Mytilus edulis: one gene and its partner. The protein of the gene in region 2 interacts with the protein of the main gene of each other region in a pairwise test. Links are inferred from orthologs where the notes say so. Each region holds a gene or a part of one and is shown on either strand. Other genes may lie near its edges. The genes, in order: transcription initiation factor IIE subunit beta-like and general transcription factor IIE subunit 1-like.

Region 1 (17,034 bases), on a different chromosome or scaffold from region 2:
ATCTGTGTTGTCTAGGATGACCAGGTCATTTCAGGTGATGACCTTGTACTGAATCTAGGATAATGACATAAAAATCACTTGTTTAAGTATCAGACCTCAATTTCCTTCCCAAAAATCACTTCTTTAAGTATCATTCTTTTAATAACCCCCACAAATTTCAACACCCCCGAACAGTGAAATTTTTATCGCGAACAGTAGAATTTTATTACATAATCTGAAAGATGAAACCTTGAACTTCACAGGAAAAATACTCCCACTGCTGTGAAAAATCTTTGAAGAAAGTATCAGTTCATTATGTAAAGCCATTATTATAGCATTTTTTCAACTAAAATAGAATTTTCAAGTAAATGATAGCATCAAAGGCATAAACTTTGCAACTTAAAAGAAGCAAAAAGTTCATATTTTTTAATATTACTAATTAAAAGATGTTATTTAAACCTATGTGTTTAAAATTTTGAAAACACAACAAAATCCCAATTTGTGACAAAACCTCGAATTTGCTACTCAAATAAGTGATTTAAAAATCACTTATTTCAGTAAGTCCCCTGACTGTCTATTTTTAGCCATGTCTGCCATGTTGGTTGGCAGACAGGGTCTCGGACACATTTTAAAAAACTAAATACCCTTTAATATGCTTATTTGTGGCCAAGTATGGTTAAATTTGTCTCAGTTGTTTTAGAAGAAGACTTTTGTAAAAGATTACAAAAATTTGCGAAAAATTGTTAAATTTGACTTTAAAGGGGAATAACTCCTTATGTGGTCAATTGACCATTTTGGTCATGTTGACTTATTTGTAGATCTTACTTTGCTGAACATTATTTCTGTATCTATAATAATATTCAAAATAATAGCCAAAAGCAAAAAAAATTTGTCCGATTTGTCTGAAAATTTCAGGACAAATATATCTTAACCTGATAAACATTTTAACCCCGCCGCATTTTTGCGCCTGTCCTAAGTCAGGAGCCTCTGGCCTTTGTTAGTCTTGTATTATATTAATTTTAGTTTCTTGAGTACAATTTGGAAATTAGTATGGCATTCATTATCACTGAACTAGTATATATTTGTTTAGGGGCCAGCTGAGGGACGCCTCCGGGTGCGTGAATTTCTCGCTACATTGAAGACCTGCTAGTGACCTTCTGCTGTTGTTTTTTCCTATGGTCGGGTTGTTGTCTCTTTGACACATTCCCCATTTCCATTCTCAATTTTATTACCAACATTAAAATTGCTTTAATGCTTTAGTTTCAGAGATATTAGTCAAAAACTGCATTTTACGACTCTGTTCTATTTTAATTATGTCGGCCATGTTGGTTGGCAGGTGCATTCATCAGACATATTTTTTTTAAACAAGATACCCTAATAATTATAATTTTCCGCGTTTCGCAGTATAGAGGAAAATTATTGTACTAACGTTCCGTCTGATTAATCATGTGATTATCACATGTTTACATGTACATGTAATAAATGAGCGGGAAATAATCCCGTGGAGTAATCACTCTCTACCCAACACTGATACAGTCAAGATGGACACCGATATGTTGAGCAGCCCTTTAAGAAATGCCATTTCGAGAGAAGTTTCCAATGCCATATCAACATCTCAACAGGATTTATTGAACAGTATAAACGGTATAATGGACAGTAAACTGACAAGTTTGCAGACCACCTTACAAGAAAGTCAACAAGAAATTTCGCAGACTCAAATGGCCAAGATGGAGGAAACTCTGACCGATAACTATAATTTTCAGAGGAAGGGCAACGAAAACCAATTCAAGTATGGTGTGAAGGTTCTAACAAAGCTGAAAGAGGCGAAGTCAAGCTTAGAAGTTCATGATTTGACCAGAGCGACCGTACAGAATGCTAAATCCAGGATTTCAGAAGGTATTGACATTGTGCAAGAGAGACAAAAGTTAATTAAACTTGCAGATTCTTCTCAACTCGGTTGGAAAGTGGTTAATGAGTATGTTGCCAACCCAATAGCAGAAGACTCCGAAGATGAGAGAAAAATGTTAAGAGCTCAGTCTAGAGCAGAGCGCAAGAGTAAAGCAGAGAAAACCAAGAAAAGCATCAAACCCAGACAAGTTCCTTATGCCAGGAATGCAGATAAAGATGATTCTTTCAAGCCTGGAAAGTGTTTCAATTGTGGAAAAAGGGGGCACTGGGCAGATAATTGTCCTGATAGAAAACAAAAGATAAGTAATTCTTTATATTTATCAAACTTAGATAGTTCAAGCTTATTTTGTAGCTCAGATGATAATTTTTATTGCAATAATTCCAAAATAAGAAACGCCAATGAGAAGGTTTCAATAACAATTGATTGTTTACAAAAAGTTGATCTTGTTACTTATGTGGAAAAACCGGTTAGTCCAGTAGGTAGATTGAAAAATGCTATCGATGAATGGAGATTAATCACAGGTAATACACATATAATTGATGTTATACAAAACGGGTATAAGATACCTTTCAAAACAGAACCAGATCATAAAATTATTAGAAATAACAGATCATCTCTTGATAACGCAAGTTTTGTTAAGTCAGAAATTGAAACTTTGCTGTCAAAAGGTTGTATATCAGAAGTGAATGATATACCTTGTGTAGTTAATCCTTTGACCGTTGCTTTTAATAAATCGAGCAAACCCAGGTTGGTATTGGATTGTAGACACATCAATCCTCATTTATTTAAATTTAGATTTAAATATGAAGACACAAAGTTAGCAAGGGAAATTTTTCACCAACATGATTTTCTATATGGCTATGATTTAAAAAGTGCTTATCACCATATTGAGATTGTTGAATTGCACAGAGAATATTTAGGTTTTGCATGGGAGATAGATGGTGCAAACAGATATTTCGTTTTTAATGTCTTGCCATTTGGATTGGCCACTGCTGGTTACATATTTACCAAAGTTCTCAGAGAAGTTGTAAAGTATTTCAGATCTAAAGGCGAACAAATTATTATGTTTTTAGATGATGGTTTGGGAGGTGGTAAAGATTTTGAATCTTGTCAAAAAAGTAGTCAGTTTGTAAAATTTCACCTTCAAAAGCTAGGTTTTCTAATTGCACATGAAAAATGTGTTTGGGATCCATGCCAAAAATTGAAATGGTTAGGTTTCATTTGGAATACTGAAACTGGTAGAATATTCGTCAGTCCTGAGAGAATAGATAAAGCAGAGCAAACTGTAAACTATATACTTTCCGAGATTGGGAGAGGTAAAGTTTTGTTAAAGGCTCGAATTTTAGCGGGCATAGTCGGTCAACTCATATCAATGCAAATAGTATTTGGTGATCTCGTGAGATTGAGAACAAGATTTTTATATGCTTGTGTTAACGGTAGAGCAAGCTGGGAGGCATCTGTAAAAATTACATCAGAAGCTATTGATGAGTTAGAATTTTGGAGAGTTTCTTGCAGAGCAAGGAATAGTAAAGGTGTGAATATAAGCACAGTTAATTTTCACGACAATTTTGATGTCGATTTGTTTTGTGATGCCTCAGATGTAGGCTTTGGTGGTTTTTGTTCCACTTATGATCGTACCGAAGTATTCGGTAACTGGGTAGGTAATGAACCTTTTGAGAGTTCAACTTGGCGTGAACTTGAATGCGTCAAGAGAGTTTTGTATACTCAAGATTCGTTGTTGGAGAACAAATTAGTTCGAGTCAACAGTGACAATCAAAATGTCGCACGTATTTTGACGGTGGGGAGCAGAAATTTGTCACTACAAAAAACTGCGATTAATATTTTAGAATCTTGTGAACAGAAAAACATTAATATTCAGACTCGCTGGGTCCCTCGGGCTCAGAATGTGTATGCAGATCAACTTAGTCGTTATACAGATCACGATGACTGGTCTTTAAACGATGAAACATTCAGTTTCTTAAACTATATTTGGGGTCCGTGTAGCATAGACCGATTTGCCACTCATTACAATACACATTGTTCGCGTTTCAATTCAGTTATATGGTGCCCAGGAACTGAAGCAGTTGACAGTTTTAGTCAATATTGGGGAAATGACAACAATTGGTTGGTACCCCCACCTTCTTTGATTGCAAAAACAGTAAACAAAATGTGCAATGAGCGTGCTAATGGTATTTTGGTTATACCAGAATGGAAATCGGCGGCATTTTGGCCTTTACTTTGTGCACAAGAAATTTTTAAGAGTTTTGTTTCAGACGCTATTTATCTTACAAATGACAAAGTTATAGTGAAGGGTGCCGGTAAAAACGGCATTTTCGGGAAATGGCCACTTAAATTTAGGTTGATAGCTTTAAATATTATGTTCTAATGATCCATATTTGCGATTTTCAGGCTTAGGACTGAGGCAACATGTTGTGGAGATTGTAGAGAAGAGTACTGTAGGATGTTCGGTTGAACTTGGAAAATTAGCAGAAAAGATGTCGGTTTATCTTATCCAGTCTAAAAGTGACAATACTACAAAAAAGTACTTTGCTAGTTATAATCGTTGGATATCTTTTGCTCAAGGATATGGTTTTAAAGAATTACCAGCAGATCCGATTCATGTTTCATTGTTTTTAACTTTATTGATTGACAAGAAGTCATCACCTTGTACTTTAGATTCGATAATTTATGCTTTAAAGTGGGTACATGAGCTTTATGGTTACGTTGATCCTACAAATAACGCTTACATTCATTCGTTAGCTCAATCATGTAAAAGATTAAATGGAAAACCAGTCGTAAAGAAGGACCCTGTTACCTCGGATATAATACTTGAACTCTGTAAAATTAATGAATTTGAAAATGACTTGCTTATTGTTAGAGATTTGACTATGATTTTGATAGGCTATGCTGGATTTTTGCGCTTTGACGAATTAAGTTCTATTACATGTAGGGATGTTAAGATTTTTGATGATCATATTTCTATTTTTCTGCCCCGGTCCAAGACCGATCAATACAGACAAGGTAACGAGATACTTATTTCTAGGGGTAACACTTTGGCATGTCCAGTTGTTATGTATAAGCGATACATTTCACTTGCTAGTTTGGATGTTAATTCGGATTATTTTATATTTCGACCGATTTTTAGGTCTAAGGGGTTAGCTAAGTTGATATATAAGAATAAGAAGTTAAGCTATACAGCCACAAAAGAGAATATTGTACGTAGATTAAAGACTGTAGCTCCTGACTTGAACCTAGGTTTGCATTCTTTACGTTCTGGTGGTGCTTCTGCAGCAGCCAGGTCAGAAGTAAATGAGAGATGTATTAAACGTCATGGAAGGTGGAAATCAGATATTAGCAAAGATGGTTACATTGCTGATTCCTTAGATATGAGATTATCAGTATCTAGAAAACTTGGTTTATAATTTGGGCTCTTTTCATCCCTTTCTTTGTGATCTCTAGATTACGTTGGGCAGTCGGCAAATATATATTTGGTTATTGTATTAATATTATGTATTATAGTGAGATTTATGGTATAAATTGCAATGAGATTACATCAGTAAAGTGTGTACTTATAATTTTCCGCGTTTCGCAGTATAGAGGAAAATTATTGTACTAACGTTCCGTCTGATTAATCATGTGATTATCACATGTTTACATGTACATGTAATAAATGAGCGGGAAATAATCCCGTGGAGTAATCACTCTCTACCCAACACTGATACAGTCAAGTTTCTTAACGATATTTGTATATATCGTTTCTCATTAATATTTCATATCTAGATCTTAATTGGGTTTTTATTATGTTTGTGCAATGTATTATTGTTTCATGTTTCACTTTATATCATTTTTTTGTTTTATGTCATATCTTTAAGTATACTGTCCAAGTATGACTCCGGAAACGGTCTTTCGAGCATATTAACTTTCGACTAAGTTAGGGTTTGGACACAGGTTTCCAACGCCGTCTATCGACATAGTTGGTTTTTCCTGGCCGGCGGGATCGTTAAGGATGGAGAAATTTTGATGATTTATAATTATTAATTACAACTCAGTATGTTATGCTGTATGGTTATATCACACATGCTGTTATATTTCACATGTCATGTTTATTTATTTGTAATAAATTCGGTGTCCTCTAGATTACGTTGGGCAGTCGGCAAATATATATTTGGTTATTGTATTAATATTATGTATTATAGTGAGATTTATGGTATAAATTGCAATGAGATTACATCAGTAAAGTGTGTACTGATTATTACCAAGTTTAGCTATATTTGTCTCAATAGTTTCATAGGAGAAGATCTTTGTACGATTACAACTTTTACCATAACCAACCCAGGATAAAAAAGGGGGGGGGGGGGTGTTCCAGCTATATGTCCCCATTCAAATGCCCAGAACCCCCCCACCCCATCCCCTGGATCCGCCAATGCATAAACTATAGTCATGATTCACTGCATGATAGTGAAAAGGTGTATTGAAAAAAAAGGCCAGAAAGTAGTGTTAGTAATAAAACCATGACATCTTCTAATGTTATCTCTTATGGGCTGCTGTGTGTGGAACAATTTTCTTATTTTGCCGCCTTGAAAAATAGCTACGGACACATTATCTGTGTACAGGTACAGGTAGTCTAAAACGACTTTAAAGGCTGACAACTGATTGCGACAATGCCTTACTGCTACTAAGGCATCAAAGCAAAAAAAATATGACAGCATTTCAACTTTTCAAGACGTGATAATTCTTTGGAATAATTTTACCATGTTTACCGGCTGCTTATGGTAATTTTTTTTCAATTTCTTTAATTTATACCACAATAATCGATGTGACGCTTCAGATGATTGAAAAGTCTAATTTTTTTTTGTGAAATGTAGCTTGTTATTCTACAAATCAAGTATTAAAAGATTGTTAATAATCAGATTTACTCTCGATATAAATTCACCATTCTTTCTCTGATATCTGCTGTTAACCTTATGATATGTTAAAGGAAGATATACGTCGTCGTAATGACAGGAAACCAGTAAATATTTTAGGAAACCTCAAGTCGATACCGGAACAGAAACGGAAACAGTTTCGTAAACGCAATATCAAAATGAAAAATTCGTGACTTTGCGATACAAGTGGGATATTTTTTTTTCTGTAAAAAAACTCGAAATACCTACTTCTATTTCAACATGTTTTAAAGGGGTGTTTTTTTAATTTCTACATCTACATCTACATCATACGACGATCCATCACTACATTGATGACTACACGTCGGCGCATCGCGGCAGACACTTAATAAAAAGTAACAATCTAATGAGTGCATTAATCAAAAATTTAATTTGTGCAAAAATAACAAAATAAATAAAAATAACTCATTTACATATATGTACAAACAGGGTGGATGACTATTATAATATACTGACTTTGGATCAGTATTTTAAACTGATCCAAAGAGTTTACACTAATGATGTTTTGTGGTAGTGAATTCCAGCAAGAAATTGAATATTTATATACAATTCCTTGATTCCAGAGTACAACTGTGTATGGAAAAAAGCTGTACTTAAAGTAATCTGTTCTGGTGCTGAAAGTTTGATATTGTAGTGAATTGGTGAATATGGTGTTTTTGACTCGCTGTGGTGAGAGGTAAAGGTTTTGGTCTACTGCTATAAGTTGGTGTGTGATCTTATACATCATTGTTACTCGATTGATGTTTCGGCGAGTTTCTAGTGACTTCCATTTAAGATGGTCAATCATGGAAGTGACACTACTGGTGTTATGATACCTGTTGGTGACGTACCGTGCTGCCCTTCTTTGTACCTTTTCAATATTATTTTTTTGTTTTGGGGTGTTAGGGGACCAAACTGAAGAGCAGTATTCAAGGTTTGATCGTACCATAGGTTTATAAGCCAAACTTTTTGTTTCTTCCTGATTAATTTTTAAGTTTCTTCGTAAAAAGACTAATCTTGTTTGCTTTAGCCGTGATGTTGCTTATATGGGTATCCCATGACATGTTGTTGGATAACTTGATACCAAGATATTTTGCTCTGTTGACTGATTCTAAAATGTGGCCTTTAAGTACATAGTTATGTTTGTATGGTGACTGAGATCTTGTTACAGTTAGTGAGTTGCATTTTTCTGGGTGGAATTGCATACCCCAAGTTTGTTCCCATTTGGCTAGGCAGTCTAAGTCAGTTTGTAAGATGGTACAATCATGTTGGTTTTTAATTGTTCTGTACAAAATACAGTCATCTGCGAACAAGCGTGTTTTTATGTTACTGTTGCAGGTAGGTCATTTATGAATATCAGAAAAAGAAGGGGCCCCAAGACCGAGCCTTGAGGCACCCCACTTACCACAGGCATTTGACCATTTAAACTAAAAAAAAATAACATATTTCTCTCTCTTAAATGCCATCATGTTTTAAAATTACTGGAAAAAAAGAAAAACCCGAGTGACTATTTGTCTGGCTGGTCGTATTCTAACAAACAGCTGCACCCCGAGCGCATGATACGCCCGTAGTCTTTTGAAATAAAACTGAAATCCGCTTTTGGAGAAACTGCGCAAAATGTGACCAAAAAATACTACTTTTTTTCTTTTACCAAAAAGCTTAATAAAAATTCAACAACTCAGAAATTAAATAAAGAACCATCACGAAAAAGTATACAGATCTTCAAATTAATATAACTAACACTGGTGTGAAGTTTTATGCAATAATCATAAATAGTTTCTGAGATACGACGCGGCATGTGAAAAAAACACCCACCCCCTGTTTTAGTTTCAAAGTCCTGTAACTCAAAAAGTTTAAATCTTATTTTCACTAAAAAGTATACAGATCGTTTGACCATCATAAGAAACAACTACGTTAAGTTTCATGAAAATTGGATAAGTTGTTCTCAAGTTACGGTGCGCGAACATGTAGGCGACGGACAGACGGACGGACAGATAGACGAACGGACAGATAGACGAACGGACTGACAGACAGACGCCGGACTTTTGTATACCATAAATAAAGTTTTACACTGAATCTATATATTTTCAAACGGCTTTGAGACGAAAACATTATCGAAAAAATAAAGAAAACTGAACTTGCGTTTCAAGTTAAGAAAGGGTCCGGGAAAAGCGCAGAATAGCATGATTTTCATCCTTATTTTCTATAGCTGCTCGGGACCTTCAGTGGCCCAAATTTCTTTGCCGAAAAAAAATCACTTCGATCGCGTTCTGCATGCCTGGCACCTATGTTTAACATTTGTTTTTAAAAAAAAAAAAACTTAGTCACAGCCCAACTTTAATACAGGTTTGTACGTATACAATAATTGCAGTTTAGAAATCAGAAGATTCACTTCCAGAGGATGCATGATGATTAATTCTGATTAAAAGCTACATAATGACTAGATCCTACATGTGCTTCTATTTAAGAATAAAAACATTAATTTAAAAATTGTGTGTTTTAAAGTATTATTAAAACTAATATAGTTGTGAAAATAAACAATCAGTCCGGCCTTGTTTTAATGAAATTCATGCTTCAACAGTCTACAAAAATAAATAACCAAATAACCAAAATCCAGCACCCCCCCCCCCCCCCCCCCCCGAATATTAAATGATCGTCTCCGTCCCCTAATCGAGAAAGACATACAATTTCCTTCATTAAAACTCGTCAATGGCATCACACTTCAGAGTCATTTTCATGTTTAATTTATTGATTGTGTTGATTTGAAATGTAATGAGCATTGGCAAATTTTTGAGAAAAATGTCCAAAACAGTAAAATCTGCTGTTTTAAAAGGAAATACAGGATAAAACAATCACTGGACGAAAAATCCAAATTTTAAAGGTAATCAAAGAGCAAGTCTCCATTTCAATGTTGTCGTTCTATTAATTATTTTGTCCTTATCTATAAATTTGTCCCAAATTCATGTGTAAACTCTGTTAATGTCACATGAAATAATGATTTTTTATAAATTGTCAAGTGTATTATAAAAGTTCAAGTGTCTGGCCTGGGATCGCTGCTCTCAGCGTAAAAGTACAATGTTGACTGTAAGAAAAAAAAAGATTCCGTTTACACAGTGTAGATACTATTCTGAACGCTATCCGGAAGTCGCGATTTTCGAAGCGAGAACTTTTTGGATCACATTTTAAATTTGATGGGTATACTGAAAAAAAAACGGTAAGTTGATCATCTGTACATTGCTTAATGATTAATTCAGCCAACATCGATATTCTCAAATGGTTTAGAATTAAATTCCACACATTCATTATTCGTATCTTTGCCTTAATCAAGAGATTTTCAAGTGCATCACTAAAAAAATCAGTCGGCGAACCTAAACACAATCTTTTTACCCTCTTAGTGTACAAATTAACGTAAAAAACAGACTTAATTAACTAAATGAAGTATATTTCAAGTGGTGTTAAGAGTTTCAACCAGATCTTTGAAGCCAGAAATAAGAAAATTACACTTGTTTGAATTTCTCACTGTACGATCAGTCTCGCTTGTATATTTTAAAACTGTATGATCAGTCTTTGTGTCATTGTATTCTAGTGGTGATTTCAAAGTTATTTACGATACATTAGAAGGTGGCATTTTTCTAAATAACACAAATATATTTAAATACATTCTCATCCTAAAAACTTATGAAACATTTTTTTTTAGCTTAATATGGTGTACTCGACTTACTACATTAAGTATAAGGATGTTTAAATGTTGCTAAAATAAGAGGAAGGTTTGATGTATACTAGTATATAAGTTTCAGAAATATCCTCCGTTATACTTAAAATTGTACAAACACACAGATTTAGTTGTTATATAAAAATGCATGTATTTACACACATTCGAGGCCGTACTTTTAGCCTATAATTGATCACAGTTCCTTCACTTTGTTTAAGATGTAGAGCTGTCTCTCTGACACTCAATTGTACACCACTTTGATAAGCGGGGGGTTATAGTGATAAAGAAGTCCGTCTTTCCGTTCGTCCGTTGGACCGGTACAATATGTTTCGCCGGTTTTGTAAGCGCATCTCCTCATAAATCACTTTATATACATTGGGGGTTCCGGCCATTTTTAAATGGAGAGGGGGTCCAATCCAGGAGAAAAGGGGATTTCAAATATATGTTTCCATACAAATGCATTGATAGTTAAAAAAGGGTTTCAAACTGCCGGATCGCCTTTTTTTGAATCCGTCACTGATATAACTATTAATTAATCTTATTCGGATTCCTTATCATAAATGATAATGACTGTATTGTGCACCGTCTATTTAGAATTTTAGTAAAAATCTTGTATGGGGTTACTTTATATAAGATACGGACATGAACATTGCATTATATGGGGGCACCCATCAGGTATTTCCAACACCTAAACCAATCATTAAAGTTTTCTGAAATTGCTCCATTTTTACTCGATTAATGCATTATGGACCTTCTATTTCTGTAAACTTACCAAAACTATATCACATGAATTAACCCCCTACGCAAAGCTATCTTTATCCATTTTTTGTTATTTTAAAAGAGACAACCTTGATTAATGTTATTATCAATTGGTCAACGGAGGACGGTGTAAATAATCTTTAATCAAAGTACTGAAGTACTGAACATCGGATGACCGCAGGTTCTTGTGGATGGTCAAAAGCACATTTCACAGAAACAGATCACATCTCTATACCTGAAACTGGGGTTAATTTAGAGAGATATTTTTTTCTGATACAAGTTCGTGCTTGGATGAATAAATGACAGGAAATTCAACCTCACCGTAATAACTATTATATTGTAGTGCAAGAAATCAGTATACCTTGGACTATTATACTTATATAATAATAGTCGTAGATATACGGAAGCCCTGGAGTGCCATGCAAAAAAAAAAATTCAACTTGTGCGCACAAGTTACCAACTTGCGCGCACAAGTTACTATCTTGTGCGCACAAGTTACACAACTTGTGCACACGAGTTATAAACTTGTGCGCACGAGTTGTACAACTTGTGCGCACAAGTTGCACGTATTCTTATAGACATGCGCTGTTTTGCTAGAGAGACTATTTATGGAACGCCGTAGCTGCCGAATACAAACGTTTATATACATGAATGCACATACTTTTCAATGTCTGCACATGTTTTTTCTATGCATACACATACTTTGCATATATATGAACATAGTTGACTTTATATGCACTTATTTTTTATATATATATGCACATACTTTTCCTACATATGCACATCGTTTACCTTATATGCACATACTTTTCTATATATCTATTTGAACATAGTTAACCTCATATGCATATACTTTTTTTCTATATATGCACAGACTTATTCTACATAGGAATGTACAAATGTAGTTCTGCATGTGAATACTTTACTCAGTATATATGGACATAGTTTTTCAACGTGAGAATTACAATTCATATTATGCTTTTCTGTTGTTTTTTCAAACTGAACTAAGCCTAAGGGTTCCAGTATCATAAAAAGAATGTGAATTAAGAATTTCTTAATGATGTATGTTGTTCAATTAAGCAACTTTTGAAATCATTTTCATATGAATGCAATACTATTTTGGCATGTATGATGGTATTTTGCTGTTGTCTTCATCTATAGTCACTTGTTTTAATGCCATAACTTTGTATTTTGTATGAGTCGTTTGTATTACATTTTAACACAAGGATTATTATCACTAATGGCGTGTTGAATTCAGTGGTTTTTGTCCTAACAATTCAGTGATAACGGGTCACAAGTTATATTAATGCATTTTAGCTACCGCTTTACAAGCAGAGCCAAATACAATGAACGTTCCAACTATGTATTGGCTTCCGAAGCTACACAAAAGACCTTACAAATATAGATTTGTTTCGTCTTCAAGCCATTGTTACACAACTAAATTGTCTATAATCTTCTTACCAGCACACTTGGTACAATTAAAAACCTGATAATAAATTATTCAAATAAGGCTTTCGAAAATAGTGGAATTAATTACTTTTGGAGTGTCAAGAACTCGTTGGAAGTAGTTGATAAATTGCATGCTTATATTGGTGATTTTGAATCTGTTGAAAATTTTGATTTTTCTACCCTGTATACCACATTGCCTCACATTCTCATTAAGAAAAAATTCACACACCTAATTAAATGGGCATTTAAAAATTCAGAATGTGAATATATATGTTCAAACTCTGTTAGGTCAGTTTTTAGTAGCAATAAACAAAAAAACTATGTCAATTGGACATGCTTTGATACTATATATGCCCTTGAATTTTTACTAGATAACATTTTTGTTCTGGCCTTTGTTAGTCTTGTATTATTTTAATTTTAGTTTCTTGTGTACAATTTGGAAATTAGTATGGCGTTCTTTATCACTGAACTAGAATATATTTGTTTAGTGGCCAGCTGAAGAACGGAATTTCTCGCTACATTGAAGACCTGTTGGTGACCTTCTGCTGTAGTTTTTTTCTACGATCGGGTTGTTGTCTCTTTGACACATTCCCCATTTCCATTCTCAATTTTATTTAGTTTGGTTTCCGCACTCTGTCGTTAATTTGCCTTATCAAAAATTATTGAAATTCACACACAATGTTAATAATCACACAAAGTTAGGCCGAGTTAGAATTTTGGGCAGTACTTTTTTGGACAATTATGCCCCTTTATAACTTGGAAAATTGAAAATTTTAAGCGGGGGCATTCGTGATTTCAAACTTTTTTTTTAAACAGGTTTTATGTTTTATTAGTAAAAACATTAGTAAGAGCCGAATGCACTTTGTCGGTGTCGGAATAATCTATAAACAGTGAATGTAAAATTTCATAGTGAGACAAAGGTATTACTGTCCAGCGATGGCGAAAACTATTTCTATAGAGCTTTGTATTCGGTATTAAGATATAATACCTGGATGCTTCATACTTTGTTTGTAATAGCCTTATATTTCGAAATTTCCGTCTGTCATATGTTGTATGTAATAATGCAGTAGGTCAAATATATATATATATATACAACTCGTCTAAACATCAACCCAACAATGGTAGATCTGTAAATTTGCTTTCGCAAATTTTTGGGTTTTCCCTCGCCGGGATTCGAACCCATGCTACTGTGATATCGTGACACCAAATCGCCTGCACTGCAGCCGTCCCGATAGACCACACGACCACCTGGGCTCTACAATAATAGAGCTTTCGCTGGCCATGTGTTACCTTTCCACGTCAGTTTTAATCTAGCGGCGTACTACAGTACATGATATATAAGGCATGAAGATGTTACTGTTACAGATCAGCTAAATTATCTATAGTAAAGGATCCTACAAATTAATGTAAGATACAGTCACAGAAAATAATTATATTATATATATATAAAACGTCTGAATAGTAGTCAACGATTTTCCCACGAGGGACCTGTATATATATAACTTCCTTAAAATATTAAAAAAAATAAACTGAAATGGTTATGTAACGACTTTTTGTAATTTTGACAATGCAAATGTTGAAACCAAAATAAAAATATGACTTGCAAATGCCAATAAATTTTCAAAGTCAATAGACAATTACTAAGGGGACAGGGCCAAATATTATCTATGGAAATGAGATGTTCTAATACTTATACAACTGCATAAAACATATCATTGAAGCACCACTTGTGGTTCAACATAAACTAGACCTAATCACAAACTAATACATTGCGAAGCCAACGCCGACGCCGTAAAAATAAAATGTATAGTAAACGTATTGAAAAGCTTTAAAAAAGGTGTGAATATCAAATATGATATGACGTGCTGCAGTTCTAAATTATGATTTGTCTGATTTACTCTGCATTTCTTGTTTTGCGTCTACATTTTCAGCATTTGGGGATTAAGGTGAGAGTGCAAAAACAAACAAAAAAGAAATGAAATTTTCCTAGTTATAAAGGAGCAGAACTGTGGTACAGCAGGTGACTTTTGCGTTTTATAGTTTTTTTACCTTTGTGTATGAGCTTTATCAAATTAAGTAGAGGCAAAGTTGAATTAGAGTGCTGCAAAATAAAATGGAAAGATGGAAAGACAGACGGTAAAACGGACGATTAAGGGTAATACATGTATAATGCCCCATACGCCTATCGGCAGGGCATAAAAAAAATTCCCCGTCTTTGGTCCTTTCTATAACACCATAATAATAGAAAACAATTCACATTTTGAGATCTTAGACTATACTGAATACTTTGAAAACACATTAAACTTGGTAAGGAAAATGGCAATTTAAATTAAGTTTTATAAGAATGCATTTTTCAACTTTTGACCCGTTAGTGGTAACAATCCATGTGTTAAAATTTAATACTATAGGTTATACGCTTCGCTACTGAACCCCTACGGATCCATAGAGGGTTAGTAAAATCCATGAATTGTATTCACCCTCTATGGATTTGTAGGGGGTCAGTAGTTAACCGTATAACGAATTTATCGGACGCTGGACTTTTTCTACGGCGTTTTGTTGAAAAATAAACAATGAAACACAACAACATTAATAGATGACGTCGCCATTAACGCGTCATGAACCCCATATGAAACTTACTAACCCCATACGGTCTCATAGGGGGTCACCACGTGACGGCGTTTAACCAATTACAACGTGACAATTCATCTGTGGTCCGATAAAAACAAATCGACTCCTTCAACGTTTTGACATAAAAACCAAGTGACTATAGATAAAGACAACAGCGCCATACCATCATACATACCAAAATAATATTGAATTCATATAAAAATGATTCCAACAGTTGCTTAATTGAACAACATACAACATTATGAAATTCTTAATAAACATTCCTTTTATGATATTGGAACCCTTAGGCTTAGTTCAGTTTGAAAAAAAAACCAGATAACATTAATATGAATTGTAATTCTTACGTTGAAAAACTATGTTCATATATACTGAGAAAAGTATTCACATGCAGAACTACATTTGTACATTCATATGTAGAATAAGAAAAAAGTATATGCATATGAGGTTAAATATGTGCAAATAGATATATAAAAAATGTGCATATATAGAAAAGTATGTGCATATAAGGTAAACGATGTGCATATGTAGGAAAAGTATGTGCATATATATATAAAAAATAAGTGCATATAAAGTCAACTATGTTCATATATATGCAAAGTATGTGTATAAATAGAAAAAAACATGTGCAGACATTGAAAAGTATGTGCATTCATGTATATAAACATATGTTTGTCACATGATTCGGCAGCTACGGCGTTCCATAAAGTAGTCTCTTTAGCCAAACAGCGCATGTCTATAAGATGATACGTGCAACTTGTGCGCACAAGTTGTACAACTCGTGCGCACAAGTTAATAACTCATGCACACAAGTTGTGTAACTCGTGCGCACAAGTTGTGTAACTTGTGCGCACAAGATAGTAACTTGTGCGCGCAAGTTAGTAACTTGTGCGCGCAAGTTAGTAACTTGTGCGCGCAAGTTGGTAACTTGTGCGCACAAGTTGATTTTTTTTTTTTGCATGGCACTCCAGGGCTTCCGTATAGATAATACACTGGTTTGTTGTTATATATATTATTAATATTACAATTGCATGTATATATAATTTTCATCTATTTGTATATGATCATTCTATTCTACTATTAATATAGTGCAGTGCAAGTGCATGGTGGACACTCTTCTGTAAAAAAAAATAAAAGCCTTAAAGGCTGTAAAAGCAATTGCTGCCATGTTAATGTTTATTTTTTTATCTACATATATAAGAATTAAACCTGACAGGACATGGTTGTCTAGTGAAAAGCAAGAAGGTTTTGGCTTTTTATCAATAAAAGACTAAAGCAGGAAATTATTTTTAATATGTTTTATATTTCACAAGGAGACAACAAGTTTACCAGGCTCAAGTTGGGGATAATTATGGATTATCCCCTGGTAGTGTTTGTAACTGGGCAATAATATACAATTATACCGAACTAACATTGGAAAGGCCTTTCGAACACTTCTTTGGACTTTCCACAACAGTCAACACAAACACACAAGCTGAAAATACCTTTAACGGCTTTGTGTTCTAGAATTTCTCGAATGTACAACAAAGGTAGAATCTTTTTGTAAAATATTGGTGGCCCTGAAAAGGACCGTTTATAAGAGACACGGCTGCTGGCACTCTTTTCATGACCACTGCCTTATTTCCATTTCTCTCGGTGGGCTTCCAGTGTAACGTGAACGCTGCCATTTTGTTTATTTA
Region 2 (16,190 bases):
GCTAAAATTTAACAAAAGAGAAAAATTACTTTAACAAAAAGAGAGAAATGGAGGACCCCATCCAGACCCCCATCTACCCATCAAGATGGAATGATGTAACCTGGTTGACTTTTATATCAATTTTATATACCACAGTAGCACAAACGAAATGAGTTGCCAAAATAAATGTGTTATTAGATACATGTATCTATCATGTGTATATACAGTATAAAATGTTTGATGTTTCTGACAAAGAGAGATAACTCTGGCAATACTCATTAAACTAAAAAATCTGACATTTTTGTTTTATGGTGTTTCTGGATCCTTATAGATTGATACATTGTCCATATCAACTATTCATGCAGGATTATTATCCAAGTTTCCTTGATGATTTCTTATTGGAATTGAAATAAATGGACAATGTGTCCATGAGATTTAGATTGCATATGCATATAATATTATAAAGGGACATAACGCAAGAACAAGTGACACAACCAAAATTCAAACCTGATCTGTGTTTTGTGGTTATACGCATAGTGTACAAGTTTAATAACATTGAGTTATAGGCAAACTAAAACTTAAGAGATCAGAAACTAACTTTGGAACAAACAGACAAGGTTACTCATAACATGCTTAATGACCCGGGGCCATCTGGCTCTGCTGTGGCAGGGGCATAAAAAATCCTTCAAAGTGTAAACTAGGACTGTAAGATATTTCAATCCTATATATTTGTGGAACATGTGCCCTCAAATTTCAGATTTAAATGTTTGTTTTGTTTATAATAAGTGACACTCATGATCAGTTTATGTCAAACTATACCTTACTCTGGCTTCGTCTGAATATTTAACATACCCTTATTGCAAACCAGAGGGCACTGTTTCTGCCATGACAAATACATTGGCAGAAAAAAGAAAATCTCACTATTTAGAAAACTTGTAATAATACAAATTATCTCATGCATTCAAAACACAGCATCATTACATTAGGTAAATTATATACAATGCCACTACCCCCCCTCCCCCCCCCTTTTGTTATCTTCTGAATTCTACAAACAATTATTAGCTATCCAGATATTTCAATTTCTATTAGCATATACATGTACATATACATGAAGGCAGTATTTCTTAAAAGTTCTATATATCTGGACCTATGATTTGTCTGAAACATAAAACTGAGCTTAGCTTAAAACACCATTGACAATGCAATGACCAGACCTAAAGATAGAAATAAACTAATATTTGACTATTTGCAACATACCTTGAAGTGTGCTTCAGATCAGTTGGTTCAGGTTCAAGGATATCTTGTGATAAAGATATACCATCACACTCTCTGAGTAGAACATAAATAGGTTCAATTTGTTCATTAAATTTTGCCAGTAATGTTCGAGCATCTTTTTGCATAACAGCACTTTCGTCTTCTACAACCTCTTCACTACAGTATGTACAGATAAACTTTTGCGTACTCAAATCAAATAACTGGTCCACTTCCAAATCAGTGAAAGTTTTCTCACATCCGGGGCATTTAAACGAAGCTCGACTAGTATTGTCTCTCTCCTCCATTTCAATTTTCCGTCGCACATGATCTAGTTTGTATTTGACAACGTTTACAAACATTAAATAATTGATAAAATAATAATTATGGCGTGTCATTTTACCTTCCGTATCTGTCTCCACTCTCATACGAAATTTCAAAAATTTCTCACTTTTGAGAGTGTTTATATAAGACCTTAACTGTTTCCTATCATACTTCAATAGTTCGATGATGTCATCTTCCTTCATACATGGATTACGTACCAATAAGTCAATAACAATGGCGTGCTCTATACTATAGAAACCACGTGTTACGAGTCTTATCAAACGTTTTAACGACTCTGGTACTTCTGTCAACACTTCTGGTTCCATCTTGCACTAAAATGGATGGCTGTCAGTTATACATGTGCTTCTGAAAGTAAAAGCCGAAAGAAATTAACAGAATTAAAAAATCAATTGATTCCAGTGAGGTTTAACCTACAATTTCCTTTGGAAAATGTCTGTATGAAGCATGGGGGTCTCAACATGGGTTTTTGGATACATCTTGACTTGATTTTAAACGACATAACAGCCATGCCAGCATTTATACAATAATCTAATTGAAAGATGAAAATTATCGACCCATTGACATATTACATTGGAGAAATCGCAACCCATTGATATTTGATGTGTTAAAAAAGGGACCTAAGGCTAAGCATGCTAAGCATAACTTGAGAAATTCTAAATTATAAAAATAATTTGTCTTCCTCCAACTGTCAGTTAAACCCTTGGCAAAGTAGGGTGTCTGTTTTGCCTTATGTGATGTACAAGAAATTTAAAGCAGTCATGTCCAGTCAGAATTGGGACGTTAAATCAGCATACCCGTAGCCTTGAAATCAAATAAGCACTGTTAAAGTCAACGTTTGGTTCAAATTGTGACTGTTAAAGTCGAGTTCATGAGTCCAACGAACCCCCCTGGCTACGGGCCTGATTAGATCACTTGTGTGAGGAAAGTGCCAAGTTGAAGGAGGGTAGTACATCATACTTCATGTTATGCCTTTACATTCAGGCGTCAAACAGTCATTTTAGGTTACTGTTAGCGTCAAATTGGTTAAAAATTTACCAGTTTTCATCAAAATACCTTTAGCCTAATTAGTAAGAGGTCTAAGATAATTATCGTTACTGTTATTTTTGGAGAAAAAAAATGACCGGATTCATCAAATTCAGTCGATTTTAAAATAATAATATTTTATTCAAATAAATATCAAGCATATTTATAATTACTATACAGTAACAAAATATATATGATACATAAAGACAATACTAACACATATATATGGTAAAATATATTGGCAGTATCCTTAAGTGTATGAAAAAATTTGCTGATATTTTATCAGGGATAACCCATGAAAGCTCTAAAGCTTGTTTCCAATGGGGTCCCTACATGTAAAGGGCTTTTAGTTTTGACATACAAAAAAAGATAACACACAAATTAATATGACCAGATGACAAAAAAATTCATATAAAAATAATTTATATAAAATTATGATTAAAACTTTTGGTCAAGAGCTCTTTGACGTTAATTTTGAATTCCTTTATTTTCTTTATTTTTTTTAACATTAATTGGCAACATATTCCAATCTTGTATGCCAGCCCATAAAAATAAAATGTGTCTTTTTGTTGACTCTTTATTTACTTATCTTTATATTGAAAATAACTTTGCTGTGTCATGAAAATAATGGTCAAAGCTGGAAACGGTGACAATCATTACATACATGAACAAGGTAGTTCGCTTTCTCGATTTACTTGCTTTACAGGTTTTTTTTCATGTTGGGGCTTTGCCATTACAGCGGGGTTTTTCATGATGGTCATAACGGCGTTTTTTTCCTCTCGCGGTAGGCCATGTTGTATAAACTGCTTACATCAACTTCATTTAAACTCTTGTTAATGTAACATTGTTTTGTCTCGTTGGCTTCCATACCACATCTCCTTACAATTTTGATTAGTGCTAATTTCATAATGCCATTGCTTGAAGAGTAAAGCTTTGGTCGGCTCACTTGCTTTGTTTGTATAAAGTTCTACCCAAGCTTTGTAAAAAAGATTATCTTAATACAATATATATCTATATACAGTTATACAGTTAATGCATAGCTCACCGATCATATGCAGAGTCTGGGGTCAAATGTAAATCAATAAACGGTAAAATGTGATTCTATAAGTATTTTGTAATTAAAAAGTGATTCAAATGTTATGAATATTACACAAATTACGCAAACCAATATGATTTGCATTTATGCATTACAATATATTTCATGTTTCTTGTGCTGTTAAGCTGGCGGCCACTTTTCCCTTTCTTTTTCTTATTTTAAACGACTTCATGTACTATTTTCAAAAAACTTATTTTTTTCCTGTCATATTTAAACAATGTTAATATTTACATGTAAAGCCCTTCAATGAGACATCGCATAACACACAACAAAACAATGGTAAAATTGCGAGAACAACATATGCATGAAAAGTTTAATAATTAAATGTCCAAAATCAGTGTTGTCCTATTGGCAAGAAGCTGACAGATGCGCTAGGGATGGCAGAGATGGATTCAGTTTTATCTTATTATGATAGCTTTACTTTGTTGCTCAAAACCACCGGCAAATGTATACGCGATATCATAAAAATGACCAGCACTTGTATCAGACAAAATGTCAGACGTCAAATTGTAAATTCATTGACTGTAGACAGCTTCAAAGAAGATACATCAGATACAAAGAAATGCGAAGAGATGCGATTTGCAGCATTGTCGGTGTCTTTCCTGTAAATGTTGTGCAGAGTGATAAAAACCCTGTACTTGTCAAGAAAGGAGCAAATTTAGTGTTGAAGAGTTTCTACAAACACTGAGAGATTAAAATTGCATTCTTTCTTGAACTGTCTTCTCTAACAACTTGCTATTATTCTTTGTAACAACTCGATTTTTGCAATACAAATATTGCCTCGCCAGGTATTATTTATTTATTTCTATCTATACATACAAGAAAATGTTTGGTGAATGAGAATTGGCTCACTCACCCCCGTTGTAGGAACTCGTATTTTGAAAGATATTTATCTACTCATCCGCTCTCATAACTAGAACTTCATTACTGCTGATGCTTAACAATTTGGACAAGAGAACTTTTGGTGAATGAGAATTGGCTTGCTCACTGTTGTATGAACTCCTATTTTGAAGGATCATCGCCTCGCCCACTCTCACAACGCAATTGATTTTATTCATTCTTAAAAGCTTGGACAAGATAATTGGCTTGCTCACTCCGTTGTATGAACTCGTATTTTGAAGGACATGAATCGCCCGCTCACAACTGGAAATTAATATCTTGTTATGCTTAACAACTTACAAAAGAACATTTGGTGAATGAGAATAGCTCACCTCTGTTTTATGAACCTGTACTTGGAAAATCATGTATTGTCACGCTCGCTCTCACATTGATGCACTCTCATGGAAAATTACAACTTCATTACCCTTTCATGAATATGACCTACTGAATTAGACTATTTACTGGAATTTGTTATAACAAAAGCAACACGACGGGTGCCACATGTGGAGCAGGATCTGCTTACCCTTCCAAGGCACCTGAGATTGGAATGAAGATGGGCAATGACATGAAGACAGTACGCAAACAAAGCAGATCTATATATATAGCGGTTAAGACCTACGACTGCAGTGCTGAAGTTTTAATCAAAGAGCAGATTGCTCTGAGGGATACGATTGCCTTTGTTTCATTGACACATGTATACATGTAGCTGATTAATATTATTTTCAAAACTAATTCAACTGCACATTTAAAATAGTTACAAAATAGCCAATCACGGATAAAAGTGTATGAACAATGTAATCAGGCCTATGTTTTATTTTTGTACTATCAATTCCAAGTTTACTTTCCACAGCACTCACTGAGACTCAGACTGAGAGAAGGTATTTCAATTCGTATCTTATCACCTATTTTCCTACGTTAATTCTAGGAGGAACCCCATTCCTAACTCTTTAAATATTTAATTTCCTTTGGGTCAGTGATCATGACTCCTTTCCGTACACATTTATCGGTTTAAAATGCGATCGTTTTTAATATAATACGACATTTATTGACAGAACGAGCTAATACTCGACGGTATGTTTTGATTCAGAATTCACGGAAGGGGTGTTCTACAATAAGGATTCCTTTTTTTTTTATTTAAATGATGCATAAATGATTCAAAATTATGCAACAACAATAACCTTCAATAGCAGACATACATAGAAAAAATCTCATGAGTTATAAATTAATCAATTGAGTGTAGAATCCAGAGCAACCATTCAATCTAAAACCCCTTGAAGTCAAGAAAACTATACGCATGCGCATAATTTCCAAAACAAACCCTGGAGCAAGAACGTATATTAAATGTTTATTAAACGACCTAGATGGTTCTCTATTTCTTTATGGAAGAACAATCTCAAATATCAGTTTCATAACGGTAACATATAAGAAAAACTCCACTTCAGTTCTTAAATGACAGAAATAGATTTATCGGAATTCAGAGAACTCTCGCATTTTATATATCAAAACTGGGATTTCCCTCTGACGTGTTTCTAAATTTATAAAAATACTAAATATAAATACTGCTTTATTCTGATTTTCCGTGTTGTTTAAAACACACATATAAGTCAAGGGAATTATCAAACATGAAGATTATGAAAAGAACATTATAAGAAAGTTGTTTAAGTTCAATCCCTTTGTTTGTTTTTACCTTTTAAAGTAAGACAATCATAAGAATCTGAGATGTTCCTTAATGTTTAGAATAAAACGATTGACGTGAGGGCAATGCTCTGAGCCACCGGTATATTAAAGTCTACAGATTGCTTGAAAGCAATCGTATCCCCAAAATGACAGCACGAAATAAGAAAGGCACTTTATTAAGAAACAATGATTTTTTTTATAGCAATACAAATACACTAACCAAAACATGATTTAGATTTATTCAACACAAAACCGTTGCCAGAATGCCTCTTTCATTGTCTTTATTTTGAAACAATGAAAAAAATATATAGTCATTGCAAGTCTCTAACCAAACCATCATCACAAAAAAAATGTTTTTAGAATGTCAATTTAATATGAAATAATGAAAAAAAATCGAGTTTTGGTTAGTATATTAATTGGGCAGTAATAGTATTGCTATAAATATGTTTATCATTGTTTTCATAATAAACAAAAGCAAACGTATAGGGTGCAAACAGACTTTTGGTAAGAACGTGTAGGGTATGAAAGTGAAAGGGGGCGAATTTGAATGAGAGCGATCACGTTTTAAGGTGAACGGACCCGGATTCCGTTCATTTCCAATTGTATGGGATTATTGCGGTCCTGTACAAGACGTCATACTGACTGATTTGTTAATTTGTTGTGTGAAAATAATATACCAATTTACAAATGTTCCATGTCTATATAGGCATACTTTTCAGAGACAAGTGACTGTGCGTCGGACTATCGGGCTGTCGGATTATAGGACTGTCAGACTATTGGATTAAAGGACTGTCGGACTACCGGACTGTCGGATTATGGGACTGTCGGATTATAGGTCTGATCCCATCCGCATTGATAGAAACAATTGGCTGTTCCTTGGGCAACTTCATCTTGGGGACCAAAAACTGAAAAAGGCATTTGCAAGGCAACACTTGGTCATATCATCTTATGTCAAGAAAAGGTATAATTTACATTTTTAACAATACCATGGAGGATTCTATCTATTCCTAAGCTACGTTTCTATCATCATTTCTGTACCTCAGACATACGCTAACATACTATTTAGGTTTAATTTGGCGCCTAGGTTCTTTATGTTTGACAATTTTCTTGTACCGGAAACAAATTATTATACATAAAATTAAAACAAGTTCGGAATTCGGTCTCACTAATTAGCGACAAGAAGAATTTTAGCGACAAGAAGCGTCAAAAAGCGACAAGAAGCGACAAGAAAACATATTTTTTTTAATTAAAATTACTTACTCCAATAAATATTAAAGAATATGCAAAAGAAAACAATTGTAGCGACAAGAGAGTTAATATCATTTATTATGTAACAGCCAGTATTACGTTTACCCTGTCAGGGCCGTAACTACCTATGAGGCAGGGGAGGCCTCCCCTGAATTTTCTACACCAAAACTTTTTTTTTAAGTAATAATGTGCATATTGACAATATCGGTATGTACGCCAAGAACTTGAATTTATTTTATAAACAACACAAGTTTACAGTTTTAACAGTGTTATCATGATACGTGATATGCGTCATTTTCCGAATTTGTGATCGAAAGTGAACCGTTTCAGAACACATATTTTTGAATAAAACTTAACTATTCACATTTATTTAGGGACTCAATTGAGCAGAGGGAGTTCCCTTTAAATTGTGAATCTTTTATGATATCGGGAATTCGTTACCGGCTGAATCAGCTGTTTTAACCGCTTCTCCCGATCGTACGAGAACATTATGGTCCATTCCTTAGCAGCTAAACTGACACCACCAATCGTTGTAGCAGGGAATTTCTATACTAAGTATATACTAGACTGTATTTAAAGTCCCTGTTTTAGTTATATACATGTCTGTTGAGCTTTCAACAATATTGAAATTCATGGTCCTCGATAAAAAATTATCTTGCGTTCCATGATCTTAGGGACTGGTCAAAATTTATCGTCACATAGGACCGGTGCAAAGTGCAGTAGGACAGATACTTTTTTCTGGAATCGCTTTTGTTGGGACATCACTTTTTTCACAGATAATATCCATAGGACACAATTTTTTTTTCAAACGATTACTTTGAAATAATTTTTATTAACATTTATAACAAAACTTGAAATAACCGGGTATAATTTACAATATGTAAAACAAGAGGCTCTCAAGAGCCTGAATCGCTCACCTGAATTTTTTTGGTTTAATCTCTCATCAATGATTATTTTGGCTTTTCAATTTATTTAAATGTTCTTTGAATCGTCCTATTTTCTTCAAAAGCAAAAAAAAATCATTTTCTCCTATGTTCTATTTTAGCCATAGGAGCTATGTTTCTTGACATACAAGGAAATGAAATATAAAATTTATACTAGATACTCTGAAACTCTGAAACTCATTTAGCCTAAGTTTGGCTGAAATTGATACAGCAGTTTCATAAGAGAAGATTTTTTAAAGTAAGTCAACATGATGAACAAATTGTGAAAAAAGTCTTTAAAGGGCAATAACTCCTAAAGAGGTCAATTGACAATTTTGGTCAAATTGACTTATTTGTAGCTCTTACTTTGCTGATCATATTTGCTGTTTACAGTTTATCTTTATCTATAATAATATTCAAGATAATGACCAAAAACTGCAAAATTTCCTTAAAATTACCAATTAAGTGGCAGCAACCCAACAATTGGATGTTTGATTCATCTGAAAATTTCAGGGCTGATAGATATTGACCTAATGAACATTTTTACTCCATGTCAGATTTGCTCTTAATGCTTTCGTTTTTGAGATATAAGCCAAAAACTGCATTTGACCCCTATGTTCTATTTTAAGTAACGGCGGCCATGTTTTTTGACGGATCAAAAATCAAAGCACACACTTTGTGCAGGATAATCTAAGGAACAACCATGCTAAGTTTTAACCAAATCCATTCAGTAGTTTCAGAGGAGAAGATTTTTTAAAGTTAGCAAATATGATGAACAAATTGTGAAAAATTGTCATTAAAGGACAATAACCCCTTAAGGGGTCAATTGACAATTTTGGTCATATTAACTTATTTGTAGATCTTACTTTGCTGATCTTTTTTGCTGTTTACAGTTTAGCTTTATCTATAATAATATTCAAGATAATGACCAAAAACTGCAAAATTTCCTTAAAATTACCAATTAAGTGGCAGCAACCCAACAATTGGATGTTTGATTCATCTGAAAATTTCAGGGCTGATAGATATTGACCTAATGAACATTTTTACTCCGTGTCAGATTTGCTCTTAATGCTTTCGTTTTTGAGATATAAGCCAAAAACTGCATTTGACCCCTATGTTCTATTTTAAGTAACGGCGGCCATGTTTTTTGACGGATCAAAAATCAAAGCACACACTTTGTGCAGGATAATCTAAGGAACAACCATGCTAAGTTTTAACCAAATCCATTCAGTAGTTTCAGAGGAGAAGATTATTTAAAGTTAGCAAATATGATGAACAAATTGTGAAAAATTGTCATTAAAGGACAATAACCCCTTAAGGGGTCAATTGACAATTTTGGTCATATTAACTTATTTGTAGATCTTACTTTGCTGATCTTTTTTGCTGCTTACAGTTTATCTTTATCTATAATAATATTCAAGATAATGACCAAAAACTGCAAAATTTCCTTAAAATTACCAATTAAGTGGCAGCAACCCAACAATTGGATGTTTGATTCATCTGAAAATTTCAGGGCTGATAGATATTGACCTAATGAACATTTTTACTCCATGTCAGATTTGCTCTTAATGCTTTCGTTTTTGAGATATAAGCCAAAAACTGCATTTGACCCCTATGTTCTATTTTAAGTAACGGCGGCCATGTTTTTTGACGGATCAAAAATCAAAGCACACACTTTGTGCAGGATAATCTAAGGAACAACCATGCTAAGTTTTAACCAAATCCATTCAGTAGTTTCAGAGAAGAAGATTTTTTTAAAGTTAGCAAATATGATGAACAAATTGTGAAAAATTGTCATTAAAGGACAATAACCCCTTAAGGGGTCAATTGACAATTTTGGTCATATTAACTTATTTGTAGATCTTACTTTGCTGATCTTTTTTGCTGTTTACAGTTTAGCTTTATCTATAATAATATTCAAGATAATGACCAAAAACTGCAAAATTTCCTTAAAATTACCAATTAAGTGGCAGCAACCCAACAATTGGATGTTTGATTCATCTGAAAATTTCAGGGCTGATAGATATTGACCTAATGAACATTTTTACTCCGTGTCAGATTTGCTCTTAATGCTTTCGTTTTTGAGATATAAGCCAAAAACTGCATTTGACCCCTATGTTCTATTTTAAGTAACGGCGGCCATGTTTTTTGACGGATCAAAAATCAAAGCACACACTTTGTGCAGGATAATCTAAGGAACAACCATGCTAAGTTTTAACCAAATCCATTCAGTAGTTTCAGAGAAGAAGATTTTTTAAAGTTAGCAAATATGATGAACAAATTGTGAAAAATTGTCATTAAAGGACAATAACCCCTTAAGGGGTCAATTGACAATTTTGGTCATATTAACTTATTTGTAGATCTTACTTTGCTGATCTTTTTTGCTGTTTACAGTTTATCTTTATCTATAATAATATTCAAGATAATGACCAAAAACTGCAAAATTTCCTTAAAATTACCAATTAAGTGGCAGCAACCCAACAATGGTTTGTTTGATTCATCTGAAAATTTCAGGGCTGATAGATCTTGACCTAATGAACATTTTTATCCCATGTCAGATTTGCTCTAAATGCTTTCGTTTTTGAGATATAAGCCAAAAACTGCATTTGACCCCTATGTTCTATTTTAAGTAACGGCGGCCATGTTTTTTGACGGATCAAAAATCGAAGCGCACATTTTGTGCAGGATATACTAAGGAACAATCATGTTAAGTTTCATTCAAATCCATTCAGTAGTTTCAGAGGAGAAGATGTTTGAAAAATTGTTAACGACGACAGACGACGACGACGACGACGGACGCCAAGTGATGAGAAAAGCTCACAAGGCCTTTTAGGCCAGGTGAGCTAAAAAAATTATTATATAAAAATTCAGATAGGCATCTTTAATTTTTTTAACTTTTTCAAACCAACTTGGATTTTCATCAAACTATGCAGCTATCTTAGATATATATCAATATTCAAATCGAAAATTTTTAACATTTAACATTTGTGAGCATTAGCTCACAGTTTAACTTAAGCAACTTCTGATATAAAAAAAAGTGTTTGCCATCATATGCTGTTAACTGCATACAACAGTATCATTGTGTTTTGAAAATTATTATATGACTTCGACCATTTGCTCCCTATTTTTTTAAACACAGTTATGATTTAACCCCCAAGTTGATTTAGTGTTAGCGGCTCACCTCGAGTGCAGGAAGCTTTTTTTTTTTTATATATATTTGTCATAGGACAGTCATCCATTAATGTGCACCTGGAAAGAATATTAACCGAAATGATTTGCTCGTTTGATTTGTTTATGGTGGTATTGCATACTTTACAATATAATGTTATTGATTTGATTTTAAGGAGGGATAGGAAACTATTGTATAGCATTAATTGTTCTAAATAATAAGGATGTTCTTATCCCAAGCATAAAAACATAGCCGTATTTGACACAACCTTTTTCAACTTTTGATCTAAAGTTGTACTTTTTTTCACTTTCGATCTTTTATATCTGGACGTCACTAGTAAGTCTTGTGTGGACGAGGCGCGTTTTTGGCGTAATGAATTTAAACCTGATGTTTTTGGTTATCCATTAATCATGTATTTCTTTGTCTAATACGTTCTCCTATTTATTTGTATTGTAGTCCAGTAATATTATGTTGTCATTTCAATGTTATATTTAACATAGCAATTAAAGTGCGAGGTTTGGCATGCCACAAAACCAGGTTCAACCCACCATTTTTTCCTTTAAAAATGTCCTGTACCAAGTCAGGAATATGGCCATTGTTATATTATTGTTCGTTTCTGTGTGTGTTACATTTTTACGTTGCGTCGTTTGTTTTCTCTTATTTTTTAGTGTAATTTCACATTGCGATAAGACTGTGTCACGGTACTTGTCTATCCCAAATTCCTGTATTTGGTTTTGATGTTATATTTGTTATTCTCGTGGGATTTTGTCTGATGCTTGGTCCGTTTCTGTGTGTGTTACATTTTAGTGTTGTGTCGTTGTTCTCCTCTTATATTTAATGCGTTTCCCTCGGTTTTAGTTTGTTACCCCGATTTTGTATTTTGTCCATGGATTTATGAGTTTTGAACAGCGGTATACTACTGTTGCCTTTATGTAAAACAAAAAACAAAAACTGGATGCAATACCTCGGATACATGAGTGAAATTATTAATTTTCATTTGAAAATTAACTAACATCTTGATTCCAAATTTTATAACGTTTAGAGGACGTGTTTTTTCAGCAAACAAACGACATTCCTATAATAACCTATTGTGTATATATTTGTTATTCCCTGTGTCAATATTTTAAGTATCAAGAAAAGTTTTCAATAACTTAAAAAGAACACATTACACTGAGAGTAGTTCAAATATATCATGGCTGCTTACTTGTCATTTCAATGGATTTAAACATTGTTTAATTTTCAGCACAAATATTATTATGTTTTAATTTCAATCCACGTAGAGACTTCGAAAGCTATGCCATTTTCCGTTTAGTTGACGAAAATTGACATGTATATAAGGGTATACATGAATTGTGTGCCTGAATATTAAATGCCTAAAACTTATTTCATATAGTTTTTTTCACTGTCTCTTTTTATGTCGTCCCTAACGCTTATTCTGTGAAGGACAATAACAATCAAAACCAAGGAGTAGACAAAGACTCGCAAAACCAAAGGATATTTACATCAACAGTTATAAATGATAATTAAGAAACAACACGAACTCCACTAAAAACCGGGATTGAAATTAGCTGTTCCGGAAGGGTAAGCAAATCTCAACAAAAATTATATTGTAAAATTCTTCTTTCATTGAATTATTTCTTTAATCTGTTCAGTACATGGTTCTTGTCTGTGATCAGTATTGTATTAAATTTATAATTTCATTTTTCTTTGTTTTTAATTATAATTTTGCAAACTTTTAGTTCTTTTGTTCAATTTTTACATTCGCCAGTATCCTTTATTGTGCAACCCCCTTTTCGATCTTATGATATGTGACAATAAACTAATGTGCTTTTGTCTCTGAATTTCGCTTTCAGTGTATTTTCCAGATGGTACAACGTGTAAAACATTTACAAGAAATCTAAACATACGGAGGTTGAGACATTACATAAAAACAGATGTACATATTTATAATTTAAGTTGCCTACCAGAATGATCCCCGTAAAAAATCAACAAAAACACAGACTGGGACACGACTGGAAATTGTTTGTTTTGTTATAGTACTTCTGCACACATGCATATCATCATCGATGTCTTTTCTTTTTGATTTCCATTTTTTGCCTGGTGATGTTGTCTGGTTGTTGTCCTATTGAAGTATTGACTTACGGGATTTTCATGTAACTTTAGGTACAGAAAGTGTGTGTATATATTTTTTTAAGTAGATTTTAGAAGATATATAGTAGAAGTATGATATAGACCTTCAAGTTATAGCCTAGAACAATTTCCTTTGAGGAGACAACCATATGAATCAATACTACAAAATTCCTTTAAGGATCCACTGAATGTTCTTTTTATTAGGAACCGAATATACCAGTCAGCAGGTTCGTGATTTTCATTTTGAAAATCTTCTTCATGATTTTTTTCATATTCATTTTCAAATCCTGTAGTATTTCTTCATCTTCAATATTAGCAAACAAGTTCATTCTCCTAGGAGTTGCATACTTTCCATCAAATTAACTATTGTCCCGTCGGAATGTCGCCGGTTGCAACAATGGAAAATATAGTCAAAGGGACGTAATTCGTACAAAACGTCGCAATATTTCGCGGAATCCGGTAGACGGCGTTCATTTACTGTTACTTGACCTTGAACAAACCTAAACAAAAAAATTACTTGTAAACCATGTAAACAATGCAATGTCTATGCCCTATGATGAGGGGTTGGGCTTTATAATCTCCAAGGAAATAAGACTTACAAATTCCAATAAAGTTTGCATACCAAATATCACGGACTTTACATTAGCAGTTCATCGCAAATGGTTATCAAAGGTACAGGATTATTATTTAAAACGCCAGACGTGCGTTTCGTCTACATCTGACTCATTAGTGAAGCTCAGTTCAAACTAGTTACAAAGTTGAAGAGCATTGAGGACCCTAAATTCCAAAAAGTTGTGCCACATGCGGTTAAGGTAATATATGCCTAGGATATAAAGAAAATGTTTCAAAGTCAATAGACCGTGACTAGGGTGGCGGGGCCGAATATCTCCATGGAAAGAGCTGTGCTAGTGCTTATACAACTGAATACTAAATACCATTGGCCTATCTCTAATGATTCCCCTTGAACAGACCTAATCACAAACTAAGGGGGGGGGGGGGGCGTAGCAAAAAAATCTCCCTGGAAATGGTATCAGCAAATGCTTAAACATCTGCATACCAAATATCAGTGACCTACCTTTAGTGGTTCCCTATAAAAGAGAGACGAAAGATACCAGAGGGAGAGTCAAACTCATAAATCGAAACTGACAACGCCATGACTAAAAATGATAAAAAGACAAACAGACAAACAATTGTACACATGACACAACATAGAAAACTAAAGAATAAGCAAAACGAACCCCACCAAAAACTAGGGGTGATCTCAGGTACTCCGGGAGGGTAAGCAGATATTGCTCCATATGTGGCACCCGTCGTGTTGCTAATATTATAACACATCCAGTAAATAGTGTAATTCGGTAGGTCACATTCATGAAAGGGAACGTTTAAAATTCATCAATAACCAAACAAATAGCCAATTAAAATGCCGTTATATCGTGTGATGCTGGATAAGCCAATCAAATTAATGCAGATTTCGTATCACATTCCGGGCAGTGTGACACAAGAATTAAATGTGCATGCAAGAAATAGATAACAGGTCACATTCATAAAAGAAGTGGGTGTCCAGGTTATATCGTGCCTTTTCAGTTATTTTATACATCGTCTGTACAGAGAATTTCCAAATAGTGAGTTTTGCATGTAAAGCAATATTTTGTTTGAGGTTTTGTCTGTTGGAGGTACATATATGTCGTGTTATAATAAAGCACCGAAAACATCGGGTTACTTGAAGGGCTTGGAAACCGGCATACTCATTGTACGTCGAACATATTTAATGTACTTCTAAACGCATAACCGATTATTTACGACCCATTCATAAATACACAGATGATGCCTTGCTTGATTCTATAAAATTATAAAGGGACATAACAGAAGAACGGCTAAATTGACGCTGCACAAATGTGTACTTGATCTGAGTTGTGTGGTAATAAATATTGAGTATAAGTCTCATAACATACAGAAATGAAAAAATTACGATTTCTTCATTTGTAATGAGGCATAACTCTAAAATGCGGGAACGGTAAAAGTGACACCACAAACATTCAAACTTGATCTGTATTTTGTGGTAAGCAGCATTCTGCATCATAAGTTCCGTAACGTTAATTGGTTGAGGCAAACTTAAGTTAGAGAACGGAAACAAAATTCAGCTATTTTTATTATAACAAAAGGGGCATAACTCAAGAACGGTAAAAGTGACGCAACCCAATTTCGAACTTGATATGTTTTGAGTGGTAATACGCATTGAGTATAACGTTAGAGAACGGAAACAAAAAAATAAGCATGTTTTATATTTATAAAGGGACATAACATAAGAACGTTAAAAGTGACGCCACCCAATTTTAAACCTTATCTGTATAATGTGACCATAAACATTTTGTTTAAGTTTCATCATATTTAACTCAGGCAAGCTCAAGTTAGAGAACGGAAACCAACTTTGGGACGTGTGTTCGTAAAGTTATAACTTAGTGACTCCTCC

Evidence for each region.
Region 1: the proteins of general transcription factor IIE subunit 1-like (region 2) and transcription initiation factor IIE subunit beta-like interact in a two-hybrid assay, tested with the Drosophila melanogaster proteins (2 studies listed by BioGRID). The link is inferred for Mytilus edulis from reciprocal best matches to the Drosophila melanogaster genes TfIIEalpha and TfIIEbeta.

What each region holds. Positions count from the first base shown.
Region 1 is NC_092344.1:17,765,676-17,782,709, reverse strand, and holds the start of transcription initiation factor IIE subunit beta-like, read right to left. Parts: upstream 6,921-17,034; 5' UTR 6,822-6,920; intron 1-6,821.
Region 2 is NC_092353.1:68,917,041-68,933,230, reverse strand, and holds the start of general transcription factor IIE subunit 1-like, read right to left. Parts: upstream 7,410-16,190; 5' UTR 7,310-7,409; exon of another isoform or gene 7,223-7,309; intron 1,921-7,222; 5' UTR 1,881-1,920; coding exon 1,237-1,880; intron 1-1,236.